Linked DNA regions of Xenopus tropicalis. The protein of the gene in region 3 interacts with the protein of the main gene of each other region in a biochemical or structural test. Links are inferred from orthologs where the notes say so. Each region holds a gene or a part of one and is shown on either strand. Other genes may lie near its edges.

Evidence for each region.
Region 1: the proteins of flt4 (region 3) and vegfd form a complex in vitro, tested with the Homo sapiens proteins (2 studies listed by BioGRID). The link is inferred for Xenopus tropicalis from reciprocal best matches to the Homo sapiens genes FLT4 and VEGFD.
Region 2: the proteins of flt4 (region 3) and lrrk1 form a complex in vitro, tested with the Homo sapiens proteins (2 studies listed by BioGRID and IntAct, with this or other methods). The link is inferred for Xenopus tropicalis from reciprocal best matches to the Homo sapiens genes FLT4 and LRRK1.

Annotation. Positions count from the first base shown.
Region 1 is NC_030678.2:29,692,495-29,697,864, forward strand, and holds part of vegfd (vascular endothelial growth factor D), read right to left. Parts: intron 2,973-5,370; coding exon 2,827-2,972; intron 1-2,826. UniProt on the Homo sapiens protein: Growth factor active in angiogenesis, lymphangiogenesis and endothelial cell growth, stimulating their proliferation and migration and also has effects on the permeability of blood vessels.
Region 2 is NC_030679.2:115,738,147-115,743,516, reverse strand, and holds part of lrrk1 (leucine-rich repeat serine/threonine-protein kinase 1), read right to left. Parts: intron 3,321-5,370; coding exon 3,156-3,320; intron 2,168-3,155; coding exon 1,995-2,167; intron 1,912-1,994; coding exon 1,791-1,911; intron 1,578-1,790; coding exon 1,418-1,577; intron 959-1,417; coding exon 682-958; intron 1-681.
Region 3 is NC_030679.2:20,221,866-20,227,235, reverse strand, and holds part of flt4 (vascular endothelial growth factor receptor 3), read right to left. Parts: intron 4,245-5,370; coding exon 3,976-4,244; intron 819-3,975; coding exon 709-818; intron 1-708. UniProt on the Homo sapiens protein: Tyrosine-protein kinase that acts as a cell-surface receptor for VEGFC and VEGFD, and plays an essential role in adult lymphangiogenesis and in the development of the vascular network and the cardiovascular system during embryonic development.

The sequences.
Region 1 (5,370 bases), on a different chromosome or scaffold from region 3:
TAAATGCTGCCACTTTACTTAGTAGACAGGCGTGCCGTTGGGCCTCTATATCATTAATTTCATTAGTCAGAAAGCTATATTGTTCAGATCACTGTAAAAGTATCAGTGGTACTGCATACTCTGATTAAATGCAAAAATATTATTGTTAGAGCACAGGATTTTGATTTGTATGAATAAAGTACAGTTTGGAAAAGTAAGATGGAAAGACTCCTCCGGAGATCTTGACCTAGGTCCTGGCACTTCCCTCAGCCCCCCTTTGGATAACCTTGATCGTTTTTGTTTTGTTTCAGAGTTGCAGCTATTTAATTATTTCACCCTTTCCTTTATGATTATTAGTTCCAAAAAAAGTTGTATTTCTATCTCAAATTCCTATTAGAAAATAAATAGAGATAAAATAATATCACTGTTTTCATGACCTTTCAGTTCTTGTTCGCTAAAGAGCAAGGAGGCAGGTGGCCAGACCACATTAAGGCATTGCTCAGATCTTTATGATATCAAAAAGTGACCATTTTTCCTGTTATTACTGTTGTTGTATTGGATACAGTTTGTTTTTTTCTATTTTTATCTTATTTAATAAGCATTGGGTGTCCAATTTAAACACCTCTGGGGAAAAGCATCCAGTGTTCTATGCATGGACAATTTTGATTGCTCAAGAGGTTTGATAAATGTAAAACAGATGGAGAAACTCTCATATGTCATCACTCAATCTTGATGTACAAAGACTAAGGAGCTGATTGTTACCCCTTATAGGTGTTAGACTGACATGCAACGTGAAAAAACAGTAGAGAGACTTGGTATTTTAGGGGATTACTGAATGTTCTTTCATTTTCTCCATCCTGAATCAATTTATATTAACCTTGAGAAACCCCAGCAATGCAAGACCCTCTGAGGTTTATGCTACAAACATATGTATTTAGGAATGCAGACGATATTTGTCTTTTTTAAACAACACATTCTTTTTTATTGTGCAAGAAATCATATTAGACATACGGGGTCCTGCTGAGTTTAGCTCTATTTTGCAGATCCTTGACGGGGAGATTTGAGCACTCATCAGTTGAGTGACCATCGTGCTAAAGGTCTCCTATGCATTCTTTTGGTAAACTATGAATTTATTTTTCACATTAGAGAATATTGCTATCAATTCCTCTTTATGCTGAACTGTATCAATGTTAGAACTGGTTTTGCAGAGAAAGGATAATATGAGAATGAAAGCCTAGTTCATGGAGGTTCTACTCAATTATAGCCATGGGAAAGCCAAGCTAGAACCAAAACTTTCTAGGTCTGTTTTAAAGGTCTGTACGACTTGATGCATTTACAAAGTTGAATGTAAATGCTTTTTATTTTGTAAATTTCTTGAGGAGTTAGTTTTGGCTTCTTACTTTGGAGTGGGACTGTGCCCTTCTCTGACAAAGAACCTGAGGGACCTTTCATGCAATTCCAATTTTTGACCTCATCATGCTGCTTGTTGCTTTTATAGCTGAGGAGCATGTACTTTATAAAACCAAGTCCTCCCACCGAGTCTAGTTCATGGAGGAGGATCTACTTAATTATAGCCAAGGGAAAGCTAGAGCCAAAGCTGTATAGATCTGTAGGACTGTTGATGCATCCACAAAATTAAATATAAATTCTTAAAAAATTACTTAAAGAGTTAGTTTTGGCTCCTGGCTTAGGAGAGGGGATATTCCCTGTTTGACAAAGAACCTGAGGGACCTGTCATACAATTCCAAATCTTGGCCTCTTTATGCTGAGTGTTGCTTTTATAGCTGAAGAGGAGCATGTACTTTATTAAACCAAGTCCTCCCACAGAGTGAAAATAGCTTATTCTTTTCATTAGCCAGCAACTGTGCTGAGACATGGACTAGAAAGTCTGCTGTTAGGCTGAGTCCACCAAATGCTTGCATATCTTTGGCTAATAGCACACACGTCATTTCTATCATAGGAGAACTTTCTGGAACACACAGTTCCATGTTCTATATTAACTTACATGAAGGGTCACTGGAGGGGACTTGTTTCCCCTCAGGTTGTTCATTTGAGGGCTGCAGACTGGGTGCCCATGACTTCAATAAGGATTATCCAATAAATATAACACAATGATGAAGTAAGTGACCACTAATGTGCGCAATCTAAAAACACCTCTGCCAAATAAAGAGATCTATTGGAAGTGCTCCACCTACAACTCAAGTGGCAGGGCCAGGAGGTGCATTGTTTTAAGGGCTCTGGCACACGGGGGAGATTAGTCGCCCGCGATTAACTCCCTGTTCGCGGGCGACTAATCTCCCCGAGTTGCCTACCCCTGCCATCCCACCGGTGAACATGTAAGTCGCCGGCGGGATGGCACATGCGGCGGCGCGATTTCGCGCAAATCGCCCCGCCGCGTCTGCCATCCCGCAGACGCGGAGATGGAAAGTCATTTTGGCATTTTACTGCCACATTAGTGCCACCTATAACACTATATTTATTCTGCAGAAAGCTTTATCATACCTGAGTAAACAGCCCTAGAAGCTTTCTCTGTTTGTTTAAGATTGCAGCTGCCATAATAGCTTGGTCTTCATAGCTTCCTGCTTGCAGTTTAGCTGTTATAGCTAAGATTACACATTCCTAAGGGAGGGATGAGTGAGTTTTATGAATTCTTATGGGAGGGGGAGCAGGAGAAAAAAGGAGACCAGAATTCCTGTGTTTCTTTTGAAAGAGGAGTCTTACTTAGTTTTTACCTTAACTTCTCCTTTACAGTTATTAAGTTTTTGTGAAGTTTTTTATTGGTTTATGCTTGTACAAAAAAGTTATAATGAACATAGTTGAAAAGAATATAGATCAGAGATGAGTTACCCGTATTCTGGATAGTGGACAGATCTTCGTATGATGGCCTTCGAGAGCCGCGGAGAACTCGGTGTGCATTTGCAGCTTGTGTGATTGGCTATTTTGATAGTTACAGGCTCTGGTGCTTGAGTTAATGGAACTGAGATTTCAAAGAGCTAAAGAATGAGAAAAACATGATCAGTTTTTGTTAAATTGTATTTTTACATTTTTCTTTATGTGCCTTTGAAGCTTGAAAATTGAGGTGATGTAATTGAAAGTCATGGGGCAAATGTCTCTCACCAACCTGCTGGTTTGCTTCTTCTGGTCCAGAGCAGTTGCTTCCACTGGGGACTTGGCAGGTGGGCACCCCTCAATTTTTGCTGATTGTACAAAAATATTCATATGTTTTACCCATGATCATTCCTGTGGTTCCCAATGACAAGGTAGTTTCGGGTGCTTTCATGTCCATGGGAGAACATAATTTCCCACAAAAGTGATACTGACATTTTTATTTTGTTTACAGAGATATATTTCTGTAGGGGAGGGTATTATAAGTAATGTATCAGTGATGACAAAAAGTTCTGCAGCCCAATTAATTCTATCCAGGATGCAACATCCTTGCAGCAGGATCTTGACCAACTGGCAATCTGAGCAGCTAAGTGGCAGATGAGATTTAATGTGGATAAATGTAAGGTCATGCACCTGGGATGTAAAAATATGCAAGCCCCGTATACCCTTAATGGGACTGCACTAGGTAAATCCATAATGGAGAAGGACTTTGGAGTCCTTGTAGATAATAAACTTGGCTGTAGCAAGCAATGCCAGGCAGCAGCTGCAAGGGCAAACAAGGTTTTGAGCTGTATTAAAAGGGGTATAGATTCACGGGAGGAAGGGTTATACTTCCACTGGTGGGGTTTTTTGTCTTCCTTTTGATATATAGGCATTGCAGTTGAACTTGATTAACGTGTCCTTTTTCACTAACTTATTATGTTACCCTCCTCTCTGCCCTCCTTGGACACTCCAGCTGCATTAAGGTATTGGCTTGCGGGAAAACTTTGGGAGGACAAAAAGCCAAATATGTTTTACCACCAGCAATTTCCATTATGGCCAGTTGGTAAGCACTTGCAGGAGACTGCGGTAGTGCAGATTTTAGCGGGCGCCTAATCTCCTCTTGTGCCAGTACCCTTAGCCATCATGTTGGACTTGGGAAGAAGTACAAAGTTATTATGGGGTTCCTGCCAGCCCCCAAACCCAGCATTATTGTTCCAGCCAGAGAACAAGGACAGTCCAAATGGGTAGGGTGCTAGGTGATAAGTGATAATGAGACATTTCTATACAAAAGAGGTATATCATTGAGTCAAGAACAGCATGGCTGTGTGTGTTTCTGTGGATATGGCCGTGTCTTACAGTTTTATATGAATCACAGTTGTAATGAAATTAGACACTAAAGATACTAGTTTGTGCTCCAGCCTGCTTGAAAACCAGAAGAAAATGTTGTAATAATCCAATGCAGTACATAGAATTGTCTGTAGCAATTTGTCATTATTTGAAGCGTCTTTAGATCCGACATCTGGCTTCTCTCATGCTGTCAGATTAGCTACACTTTTATTAATGTAGCTGGAGACCAACATTTTTTTAATGATTTGTGGAATGGATTTAAAAAAATGCTACCAATGTGCTTTTTCAGCCTATTGTGATACTCATAAAAAGGTCAGCAGTCAAATAGTGGGGAAGATTTCTAATGAGATAAGGAAAGGGGGGAGGCTGCTGGAACACAAGGTTCTTATCTGCTGTAAACATCTGGTTCTGTTTATTTATTGTGAAGCCAGAGGGGCCAACGACTACAATACCAGCGCTGAACAATGAGCATCCTAAACTCACAATTAGCAATTGAGCAAGTTCAAGTCTGTACGTGTATAAGGAAATTCAGCAAGCAAATGTATAGATATTATCCAACCAGCAAGGAGTACAATTTTCTGATAATGGCATCCTAGCATATGGGTATTGTACAGAGCTGAGCAAATTGGGGATTACGCCTTAAGTGTTTTAATTATGACCCTTCAAACACATTCTACAAACCATCCAAAATATCAATAAGAATCAATAATCTACACAATGTAACACCCATTTCTCTAAAGGCCATGTATGTAAGTCAAGCTTTTTTTTGGTAATGGTTTCATGACCCTAAGGACAAGGAAAGGAATTTACATTAAGCCCCTCAGTTACACAGACCCCCAGCTGTGGCCGTGTTGTGCATTCCCCGCCGTGCAGAGGAATCTAAGCCACTTTAGTGATGTATAACAGAATATAGAGCTTATTTGCTGAATATTTATAACATGCTCCATGCAGAGAGCTAAACCCCAGGGTGCTAGTAAAGAGCTCACTCTTGCACCTCTTAGCACTCTTGCACTTGCGCCCCCAGGGGTTGTAAATGACCTCTTGTATATCTCTGTGTTTTTTCATTATACATGTTATAATAATAGTATCATGTGACGATGACACATTTTTGTTCACAAAAGATATATAGAAGAAGCCATTTATGCAACTCTTTAGTGTTCATTAATAGAGCACTTC
Region 2 (5,370 bases), about 96 Mb from region 3:
CCACGTTTAAAAAAGAATAAAGCTTAATTCACACGTATTTCATAATAGTTTCAACAATAATAAATGGTTCCCCTCATTTCTAACATGAGACATGCTGTGCTGGATGCAGCAGGCTATAAATTGAACTTATCATTGGGATATCTTCTAAGTACAGCCATCCAATTAACTGTTTAATGCCAAACACATGGGATGTAATTAACGTATTCACTGATAAGCTTGCAGAGCTCTGTCTTGCTCTTCTGAGAGTAAGAATCTGAGGTAATGGTACTGATGGCAACAGAGGCATGTAAACAGCCAGAGTCAGCACTATGTTCACACAGATCTTGTATAAATTGGACAAAGGGCAATTTAACCATTTATTTGCAGCATGAAACGCACAACTCAAACACACAAATTAATCTGGAAAATATTTAAAAATGCAAATACAACAAACAGAATGAAATGCTGTTTATAAACGAATCCCTTACTGTTTCTTTAAAACCTTTTTAACTTAGCTTCAGGAATTGTATCACAGTTTTAGAATATAAATCATATTCAAGTTTCAGTCTCTGTTATACTGCTACAGGTACAACATGCTCCTTGATATTAGGTGTATCTATAGCAAAAGTATGGACATACTATATACAGAAAGCGGAGCATATCCACTTATAGTTAAATTGAATAAATTCTGTATATTCCCACCTGTTATTGGCAACAGGAAGAGCAATCTCAAACTTTGCCAGGAACTGAAAATATTGCTCTTCAGTCTGTTTGGTGAATCCAGTTCCAACCAGCAGCATTCTGAGATCTTCTGCCTTAATCACCCCATTCCGGGCCACAGACTTGGAGCTCTTAATGTTAATAATCCTCTCCAAACATTCTGACAACCAAACAGGGTCCAAGAAGTAAAGGTTTCTTAGGCCATGGCTAGTGTCAGGAAAGTGAAGCAAAGTCCCAGTTTCTATCAAGAAACCGATCGCTGCAGGATACAGAGAAGAAAAGGAAATTAATGATATTGCCCCTCCCACAGGCAGGGCTGCCTTTAGTGGTAGTGAGAATCACAGCAAAACAGTGAGGCCCCATTCTTTTTTTTTTTTTTTTTAGCGTCTGTCGTAAACAGCTCTGCCTAAAGCCACTAAAAGAATGAAAGCTGTATAGTAGCTAAGGGCAGGAAAAACCACATATATCAGAAACCTTTGCCCCAAATTATCCTAATATATAGCTGATATATAGGAAAAGAAATACCCCACATATGAAGATGCTAGGTACTAGGTGGATGCCATCCCGTGCCTTTGCCCAAAAGCAATAATAATTAATAACCTGCATTGTAGAATGTAAATAATGCAATATAAATACACAAGCTAGCACAGATAATGCCCTAATTAAAAATGTTCCAATGCACATACTGATTCTCACTCATTCAATTTGGGTCACATACCTGCCTGCATGTCTTCATAATCGCGTATATCGTTTCCAGGGCTCTGTTCAATAATCTGTTCTATCTGCTCATCAGTCAGGTATTGTACCTCATCCCCTTGAGCTCGTCTCTGCTGCTCAGCTACCACAGCCTCCTGAAGGTTCAGGTAGCTTCTCGGGATCTATTTGCATAACCAGAAAAGACAGAGATTTTGGATAGAGGATATGACCCCATCACCAAAAGGTAATTATATAAATTTTGCGGCCACTGCAAAGAACTGATTCTGGTGTTAAGACTGGCCATGCTTGAGAGATATCCCATGGAGTATTTTGAGCCAATAATATTTTTTTGACTCAATTAATCTGAAATATTGTTTGTAGAGCATAAAACGTACCAGCCTTCCCACTAGTTTTTGGGATCCAATGGTACTGCCTACATCCCTCATATTGCAGGCAGCATGGAATATCAGCTGGCGCAGACCATCGAGTCCCTCCAATGTTTTGCAAGAGAGTTCACTGAATAGTGAAAGCCAGAGGAAAGAAAATTACATAAAAATTGTAACATAACATTAAACACCCTTAAGTTAAAATGTGCTCACTGTAAGTGCTTGAAAGTGATATCAGGGAACCCAGTTGCTCTGGAGCCAGATGGGGAGCGACACAATGCCAGAACATAAGCTCGAAGAGTGGCAATTCTCTCCAACCGGAATTTGGTTTCTATGAAGTCAAGGTGCGTCCCTACAACCAGAACAACGGCATTGGGAGCTTTTGCCTGGAAAACAGATATCAGCTTTATCAAACAATCTGGCTACGTCAAAAAATCCAGTAACAGATAAAATAGATGAGGTGGCATTAGTAAGATTGGCTGCATGGTAACTTTTTACTTTTCTTTACAGCTCTATACCATTATCAGTATTAAGCTAACATTTTAGCACCCCCCAGAGATTGTAATTGCTTACCTTATCCCTTGGCTGGTGCTCCTGTTAGCAAAAAACCGCAATAGCCCGGGGTAGCAACAAGACATTGATCCTCTTCTTCTCCTGTCTTTGCGTCACTTGTGTATGCGCAGTAGAGTGAAAAGCAGAACTTTAACAAAAAAGTCAGCATTTTAATCCTACTGCACATGCGCCAGGAAGCGGAAGAATGAAGACGGACAGAAGAAGATCGCTGTCTCACAGCTACCCTGGGCTGGAGCACCAGCGCGGGGTAAGCAATTACAATCACTGGGGGCTGTTTTTCCTTCTCCTTTAAGCTTTAACACTCTAACCCAGAGACAAGATCTGATCTCATTATAGAATTGGAAATTCCACTTTCCTCCTAAATATCATGCCTACAAAATTGCAGCTGTGTGTCAACACTTTAATAGGCCCGAATGAGTTGCCTAGACATGGGCAATATGGTATAAATAAATTAATAATCTTTTATGTAGTCAAATATACAATACAAGTATAGGATTTATTATCTGTAAACTCATTGTTCAGAAACTTCTAAAATACAGGAATGTTTAAGCAAACAATTTTTCTTTGACAGGTTTCCTTTTTCTCTGTTATAATTACTTGATGATAAATATTGGAACATTAATCCACGGTGGTGGCAAAATAATACTATTTTTTTTTAAATGTTTTCAGTAGGATTAAGGAGTGTTTTCCTAATTAAGAAAAGGCCCCTTATCCGGAAAACTGTAGATCCCAAGAATTACACATAACAGATACCTTGCCAGTATTGATCTTCTTTGACACATGCAGATAGTTACCTCTTACCTCTATGTTCAGTAGCCAGAACTGAAGATTGGCAACAGCCTCCTCGCCAAGAGCAAGGTTCCAGACTACCACATACAAGGCTTTGTCAGTGAAGAAGCACTGGTTCACAGCGGACATTGCATTCGAACCTCCAACGTCCCACACATGGAACTGCACAGAATCAACCTACTTAAGCAAAAGGGAGAGACACGAAGGGCTCTGTGTGAAGGCAGGTTACTCAGTACAGACCTTTGTAATAATAGAATGAAACACAGTAAGAGTGGTTAATTGACTAATTCCATAACATAGTCAAAGCCAATCCAACCTTCCTTTTAAATCTTCCTATTGTTTCCCCCCACACACACACCAAACTACTAAGAAGAGAGGCTTGTAAGGTGATTTGGCAATGCTTTAAAAATATGTTAGAAGGCATTACATATAAATTAAAGGGGTCCATATGTATAGCTGCAAGCCTTGTTATAATATCCATCTTGTGGTAGAAAATAAATTTGACATTTCTTTAATGCTAATCAGATACATACAGAAACATCATCAATATCTAAATCAACTGCAAAAAAATATTTGCCACAGGTTGAAAGTGTGGGTGCATTAAAAAATTTATATATATATATTGGTTCCTTTTTTCCTAAGTGGTGTACAGGCTATCTATAACCTTACTGGGACTAAAGGTGCCCATACACCTTAAGATCCGCTGGCTTGGTGATGTCGCCAAGTGACCGGATCTTCTCCCGATACCCCCCATCTACGAGTGGGCGATATCAGGAGAATCCAGGCTAATTCGATCATTTGGCCCTGGGGCCAAACGATCAAATTATAATGACGGGCACAGGCAAAGTCGGTCCGGGGACCGCATCAACAAGCTGATGCAGTCCCTGATTCGACTAGATTTTCTAACCTTGCCCGATCGAGATCTGGCCGATTTCAGGCCAGATATTCTAACCTGCTCAATCGAGATCTGGCCGATTTCAGGCCAGATATTGGTTGGGCAGGCCCATCGGTAGTCCCCATACACGGGCCGATCAGTCTAAGGGACCGATATCAGCAGCTAGAATCGGCCCGTGTATGGGGACCTTAAGTTAGGTAAATCCTTAATGGAGAAGGATCTTGGGGTAATTGCAGATAAAAAACATGTGTGCAGCAGGAAATGTCAGACAGCAGCAGCAGCAATGTTCGTCAAAATACTGTCCTGTACTTGAAGGGGTAATAAAGGTAAGGTAGGATCTATTTAAAATATGGAGTGCAGTTTGCGTTTCCATCATATAATTCATTAATAAAGGGATATTGTCATGATTTTTTATGGGGTACTTTTTAATTCTAAATTACACTGTTTACATAGCAAATAATTCACTCTACCATTTAAAATTATTCTTAATTTCTTAATTATTCTTAGTTTTAATATTGGTGTGTAGGCGCCATCTTAGTGCATTGTGCCCGAGTCTGATATTTAAAAAGATGCCAGCGCTGCACATTAGAACTGCTTTCAGTGAAATGCAGAATATGGCTAGCCCCATGTGAAATTTCAAAGTTAAATATAAAGAAATCTGTTTGTGTGCAGGATTCTGCTGGAGAATACCTATCAACTGATGCCTTTTGAAAAAAACACATTTTCCCATGACAGTATTCCTTTAAAGAAATATGGAAAGCCCAGAAAAGAGTGGCTGCATTTTTTTCAACATTGAAAAAGCAGTGGTTAAGGGGAATATGATAGCTATGTATGAATATATAAGGGGCCCATACAATAAATGCCCTTAACCAATAAGTATCTGCAGAGAACAAAAGGACATACTATTGAGATTAAACAAACAGAGGTTTCATATTAAGGAAAGAGATATCTTTTACAGTGAGAAAATTTGTAAAATTGTGTTATTTCTTCCCTGAAGCTGTTGTACTGAAACATGTACAAGATAACTTCAAGAAAGATATGGATGCCTTTCCTTGCAAGAAAGAAAATACAAGGTGACTGAAATGAATACAACAATTACAAAGTTGATCCAGAAACTTGCCCTACTGCCAAAATGAAGTACAAAACTCAGGCGGAGAAAAGCAGATCATGGCCATAGTGTGCCCTTGGCATAAGGCTATGCAAAAGGTACTTTGATATGAAGGCAGTAACCCTATGGAATGTTGTACTGGCAGGATTTTTAGGAGGAACTTGGATATCCTATTTGACAGAATGAAGTACAGAACCGTTGCATTACTATGTTTCAGCATTTAC
Region 3 (5,370 bases):
TTAGTGCTGGGTATCAGGCACCAATGAGGAGCATGCCTAATTCTTATTTTGTACCAAACTGCCATGTTGCTTCCCACAGTTGTGTTTACACCTGTAATACAAGCTTAAAGGGGGCAGTTGCAAGAGTTTATCATGGTGTCCACTGAGAGAGCATCCATTATGTTTGTGTTTACACTCAACTAGAGGAAGACTTTATATAAACTGTGATTAAAGACACAGTAAAAATTAGTTATTAAATGGGTATTAAATATGTTGGCGAATTAAACAAGAGTACTGTGATATAGTATATGACAAATACTTCTAAAGTTATTGTCTGGCAATGTCAAACAAGCATTTGGTCACTCTGGTGCCCCCATTGTCAGGTTATGGCTGAGATGAAAAAGTCTGTGCCAATGGATGCAGTTTAGTAAGCAGGGCTCTCTTTACCACCTTTAATAATCAGTATTGCATGTAAATGGTGTGCTTTATATGTCTTTTATATCTATATATATATTCTATTGTATATGTTGGAGCTTTATAAATACGTGATTAGAGTGATAATATTTACTTGTTTGCAATAATCCTCCAAAATCCAATGTTTTATAACTGGGCTTAAGATCATGGCATAAATACTCAAATATTTGTTGTATGGAACAGCATGGAACTAAAACACCTTCCAGCCCTAAACTGCTAAATATAAATAAAGATATCATTATAGGCAGGACTTACCATATGGAGAGTAACATTGAGGTCTGGAATTGACACGAGGCATGGCACTCTAGTTTTCTCCTTATATACCAGCAATGCCCCAAGAGTGTTTATAAATGGCTGCTCCCAGTCTAAAGACACAATGAAAATATGTAGGTCGGAAAAGCTAGAAAGTTTATACTATCCCCCCAAAATTTAGAAAGTTATTTCTATCCCCACAAAAAAGCATTCCAGTTTTAGAGAGTTGTTGCTGGCAGATGTGAAAACAGACAACTAACTGCACATGGAGGGTTAAATAGATCAGAGACAGCAGGGCAAGAAGTCAGCGTGGGTTTGGAAAATTGCAATACTAGAGGGCTTATTTATCAGTTTGTTGAATTTGTGAATTTGAATTTGTTTGTTTTTTTTTAAATCAAATAAACTCACATATCAAATTCTCGCTCATTTATTAATGAGGAAAACTTGTTCCAGTAAAAAAAACCCGAATATCATTGACGTCAATAGAAACTTTGAAGCTTTTAGAATTTTTACATTTGAGTTTTTGAGTTTTTTGCACTTAATAAAAACCAGACAAGTTTTTGAAACATAATTCGAATTCGTGTTTTTTAAGTGCAAAATCGTCAAAAAAAAAAATCAAACTAGATAAAACCTAGATAAATATTCCCCTTGCCGTGGGTGAAGGAGCACTGAGGGGCACAAAAACAAGCCCCTTAGTGCTCATTCTTAAAGCACACATAAAAGGGGCATATCAGCACTGAAGGCAGATGAAACACAGCTCTATTCTTCCACTGCCATGGGAAGGTAGGTAGAAAAATAGTCCATAACTTGTGCATCTGAATGCAAGTTAAGGAGCAGACAGGGGCCTCCCCCCACCTGCTCCTTATGAATAGAGCACTGAAGAATGCAGGTAACAATGTATTCATGGGAAAGGTGCAGGGCAGGGTGACTCTGCAAAAAGCATGTGATGTTGATCGCAAAAAGCAAATTGTAAATGACCCCTCAAATCTCTGGCAGGTAAATTGTTCTTGTGGGCCGATTTGGAAAAACTTGATCTAAGCAATACAAACTGTAGTAATAATAATAATGAAAAGAGCCTGGACTCTTGGCCTGAATGATGCAAAATCCATTTAAATCTAGTTTGAAGAATTTCAATCTTAAATTGTTTATGTTTCAGTTAACATTATGTCCTGAACGACCGGTACAGATATTGTTTATTTTAATGTGCACACCAGTGGCCCAAGGATTTCTTATAATGTAAAGCACATGAACACGAAACCACTGGATGCACTGAGCGCACATGAACCTCTCTAGTTTCTCATTTTCTACGTGACCTCCTTATCCACCAAGAAAAAATTCCAGACATTTTAGAAAAATACAGTATGTAATAAATTCTCAAGAGAATTATATAGTATTAATAAAAGAAATGGGCTTAGCTAATAAACAAAACTGTTCTGTCTTTTTGCTGGGTTTTCCCTAAAAGTTAAGAAAATTCTGGTTGTCCTTCTTCTGCAGTACATGAAAAACTATATCCACATATACAGTAAGATGAGGGGGACCTGCGGGTGTGGAGGGACAAGGGTCTGAACTAGGGGTATGTTAAAGCGGTACATGCCTAGCGCCACCAACAGTTGCACACTAGGTACATTCCTCTTCTGTCTACCCCTAGTTCTGGCCAGTGTTGGACTGGCCTACCAGGATACCAGGAAAACTCCCGGTGGGCCCAAGTGTCAGTGGGCCCTCTTGCTTCTATCTATTTAGCCCTATTTCTGTATGCGAACAAGGAAGCTTGATAGATGGAAGAAGAGAGGATAGTATGTAGAGAAAAGAGACTCGGAGAATAAAGAGTTTGAAGGAGTAGAGGAGCAATTAAAGTTTTGAGAGTGGGCCCTTTGCCCAGGGTTTTCTATTGGGCCCCTGCCATCTCAGTCCGACACTGGTTCTGGCCCTGGCTGTCAAAATGAAAGATCAATAGAAGAGGGGAGCATTAGTAAAAATCAATCAAAATAGCAATAACATTGTAGCTTCACAATAGATTAGACTGGGCTAAATTGCACCTGGGTTGTAACTCACGACAATCAATCAGGCGATTTCTTTCAGCGTTTAACCTGCAGCTGAATGAAAAATCCAATCACCGATTGGTTGCTATGTGTTACTGCTTAGGTGTAAATTTGCCCATTGTTTATAAATGAGCTCCACTTGTGTTTCCAGTTGCAAGCAAGACAGGAATGCAGAAAGTTCAAAAACATACATGAAGATCAACTAAAAACGTACTGAAATCTGTAACAAACATTTAATCCTCTTAAAGAGATACTATATGCTACACATGCAGAACTTTGCTCATCATGGGGAAATGCTGACATAGTTTAATGATATTTTTATTATAGGATATGAGCACAGTTAAAGGAATACTACTGCAGCATTATATAGAGATCCATCAATGGTCATTTTATAACTGACCACAGCACAATTTCAGCAGATCATGTCCTCTCTACTGTTTTGAATGCAGGAAGGCTGGGGTAGGGCAAAGGGAAGGTCATAGTTATCCTTCCCAACAGTGGTAGCTTATATGAAGCTAAAACTTTACTTATAAAGGGGATGTTCACCTTACAACAACAGTCTGAATTTGAACAGCCCCATCAGAAAAAACTGATTATGATAAATCATCTTTATTATTTATTAGTCTTAGTCTAAGAAATCCCTTACAGAGAGAGCAAAACAGAGAGTGTTTTAGCAGCAGTGATCTGACAGGGGCACTATTGCCTGAAGATAAACATCCATTTAAGTGCAGACCTGTGCTTGGGACTCCTAAAAGGCCATGTAAGTATCCTATAGTGGTTTGTAACCCCAGAGTTTCTGCGGCCCTGATTACAGCATAGATATCTTGCATCTTAAAATAGGATCCTTACTATTGAGGCAAGGCATTCAGCCATAGAACCTGAGTGCAACACAGTAGTGGGTGATGGATGAATAAGCAGTGTAACAAGCAGAGTAATAAAACTGAATTATATTTTAAAGTACTTAGAACTTGGTTCATAAATTAACCACTTCCCCCATCTTTTGATATTTTTCCAGCCATAAATGTTATCTTTCAAAAAAGGATTTTAATAATTATTTTCATGAGAATAAAGATTCTAGAACACATCTTCTTAGTAGCTAGTAGAAAATATAGCTGTAGTTCACAGTAGTGGGGGTCTTCATACATTAAAATATCAGATCTTTTCTCTGGCACATTTCTTTCTCTTCCACATAACAGAACTTTATTGAAATATACTGTTTTTGTCCACCTACCTCTTACAAAGACATGGACGCTGGCAGCTGTGGTCCCTTTGATCCTGACGTTGATAAATTTGTAGTGGCACCAGTAAGAGCCTGTGTCGTTAGCCCTAGCTCCTGTCAGCCTGAACACCTTGCAGTAAGGTTTGCTAGGAATCCCCTCACAGTCTTCCTCAGCCACACTGCGTGTATCACTGAAATTTATAGTCACTTTGGAGTCTTTGTCCTTTGTATCTGTGTCTGTAAAACCCCCTGGCCAAGACCACTGCAGGGGCCTTTGTCCCCTAGAAATCAATAAGCAGACAATTGTATTTGTTAAAATGTAACATAAACATGAAGAACTTGACTACACATACTTTTAATGTTAAGGTATCCATTCTTGACTTTCCCCACCCACACTAAGAGTGAAATAGAAGAAAGTATAAAATAATTTCATATTTTATGTAGACTGGGTTTATATCACAGCATAAGTTGCTTTCCTTGGATCTTACTTACTGCCTTCTTCATCCCATTCCTTCCACACTTCGTCAAAAATCATTCAAATTAAAAACATACACTCATAACCCCTGTTTTGAAAAAACATATTTAAACATGGTAAATGTCTATTTATATGGTATCTAGCACCACCTCTATGCTGAACATACTTTTTTAAAATTTTCCTCTGCCAATCTAAATTACATACGTGCAAATGGCTACATTTGATGGACATTTGTCTTATTTCAACCACAGCTACTCCTCAACTATTTACAATATGCTGGTAGAGGCATAATATACCTAAAATGCTATTCAGATATGAAAAAATGTGGAATTGAATAGTCAAAAAAACTTTGGAAAGCTGTCTTTGGCATGAAGACCTCCAGTTGGAAAGCATTGCTGGTCATAACAATAATTTAGTAGAATTATATTAACACTAATACCCTTTATAAGTAACCTGTCTCTCCATGCTTCTGGACCTTTTATTTTAATATTGGAGAGGTCTAATATCACTTTAATCTAAGGATTTTTAAGAGCAATTTTATTGAACAACTGATTAAGTGCCAGGAGTAAGTCATCACTGGATTAGAAAGTGAATCATAAAAAATAAAAGCAATTTGCAAATTGCTGTATTAAAGTTTAGAGACCCGAAGACTCCTCTTGCCAACAATGTCTAACTCAGGAAGCATGGCTTTTGTTTTGGAAGACACATCTGAGCTCAAGTCGACCTTTTGTAGGGAATTAGTTAACTGCCAAGTTGGTAGATCTAAATGTACTATTTAAACTAGACCTTGAATCCTATAGCCAGCAGAAGGCATAGTCGTTATGATTTCATTGGAATTGCATGCTCACAGCTTGATGGGAAGCCGTTGCTCCTATAGGCACCTGCAGCACATAGCTTTAATGGTAAAGATGGCTAATATCTAGGTGCTCCAC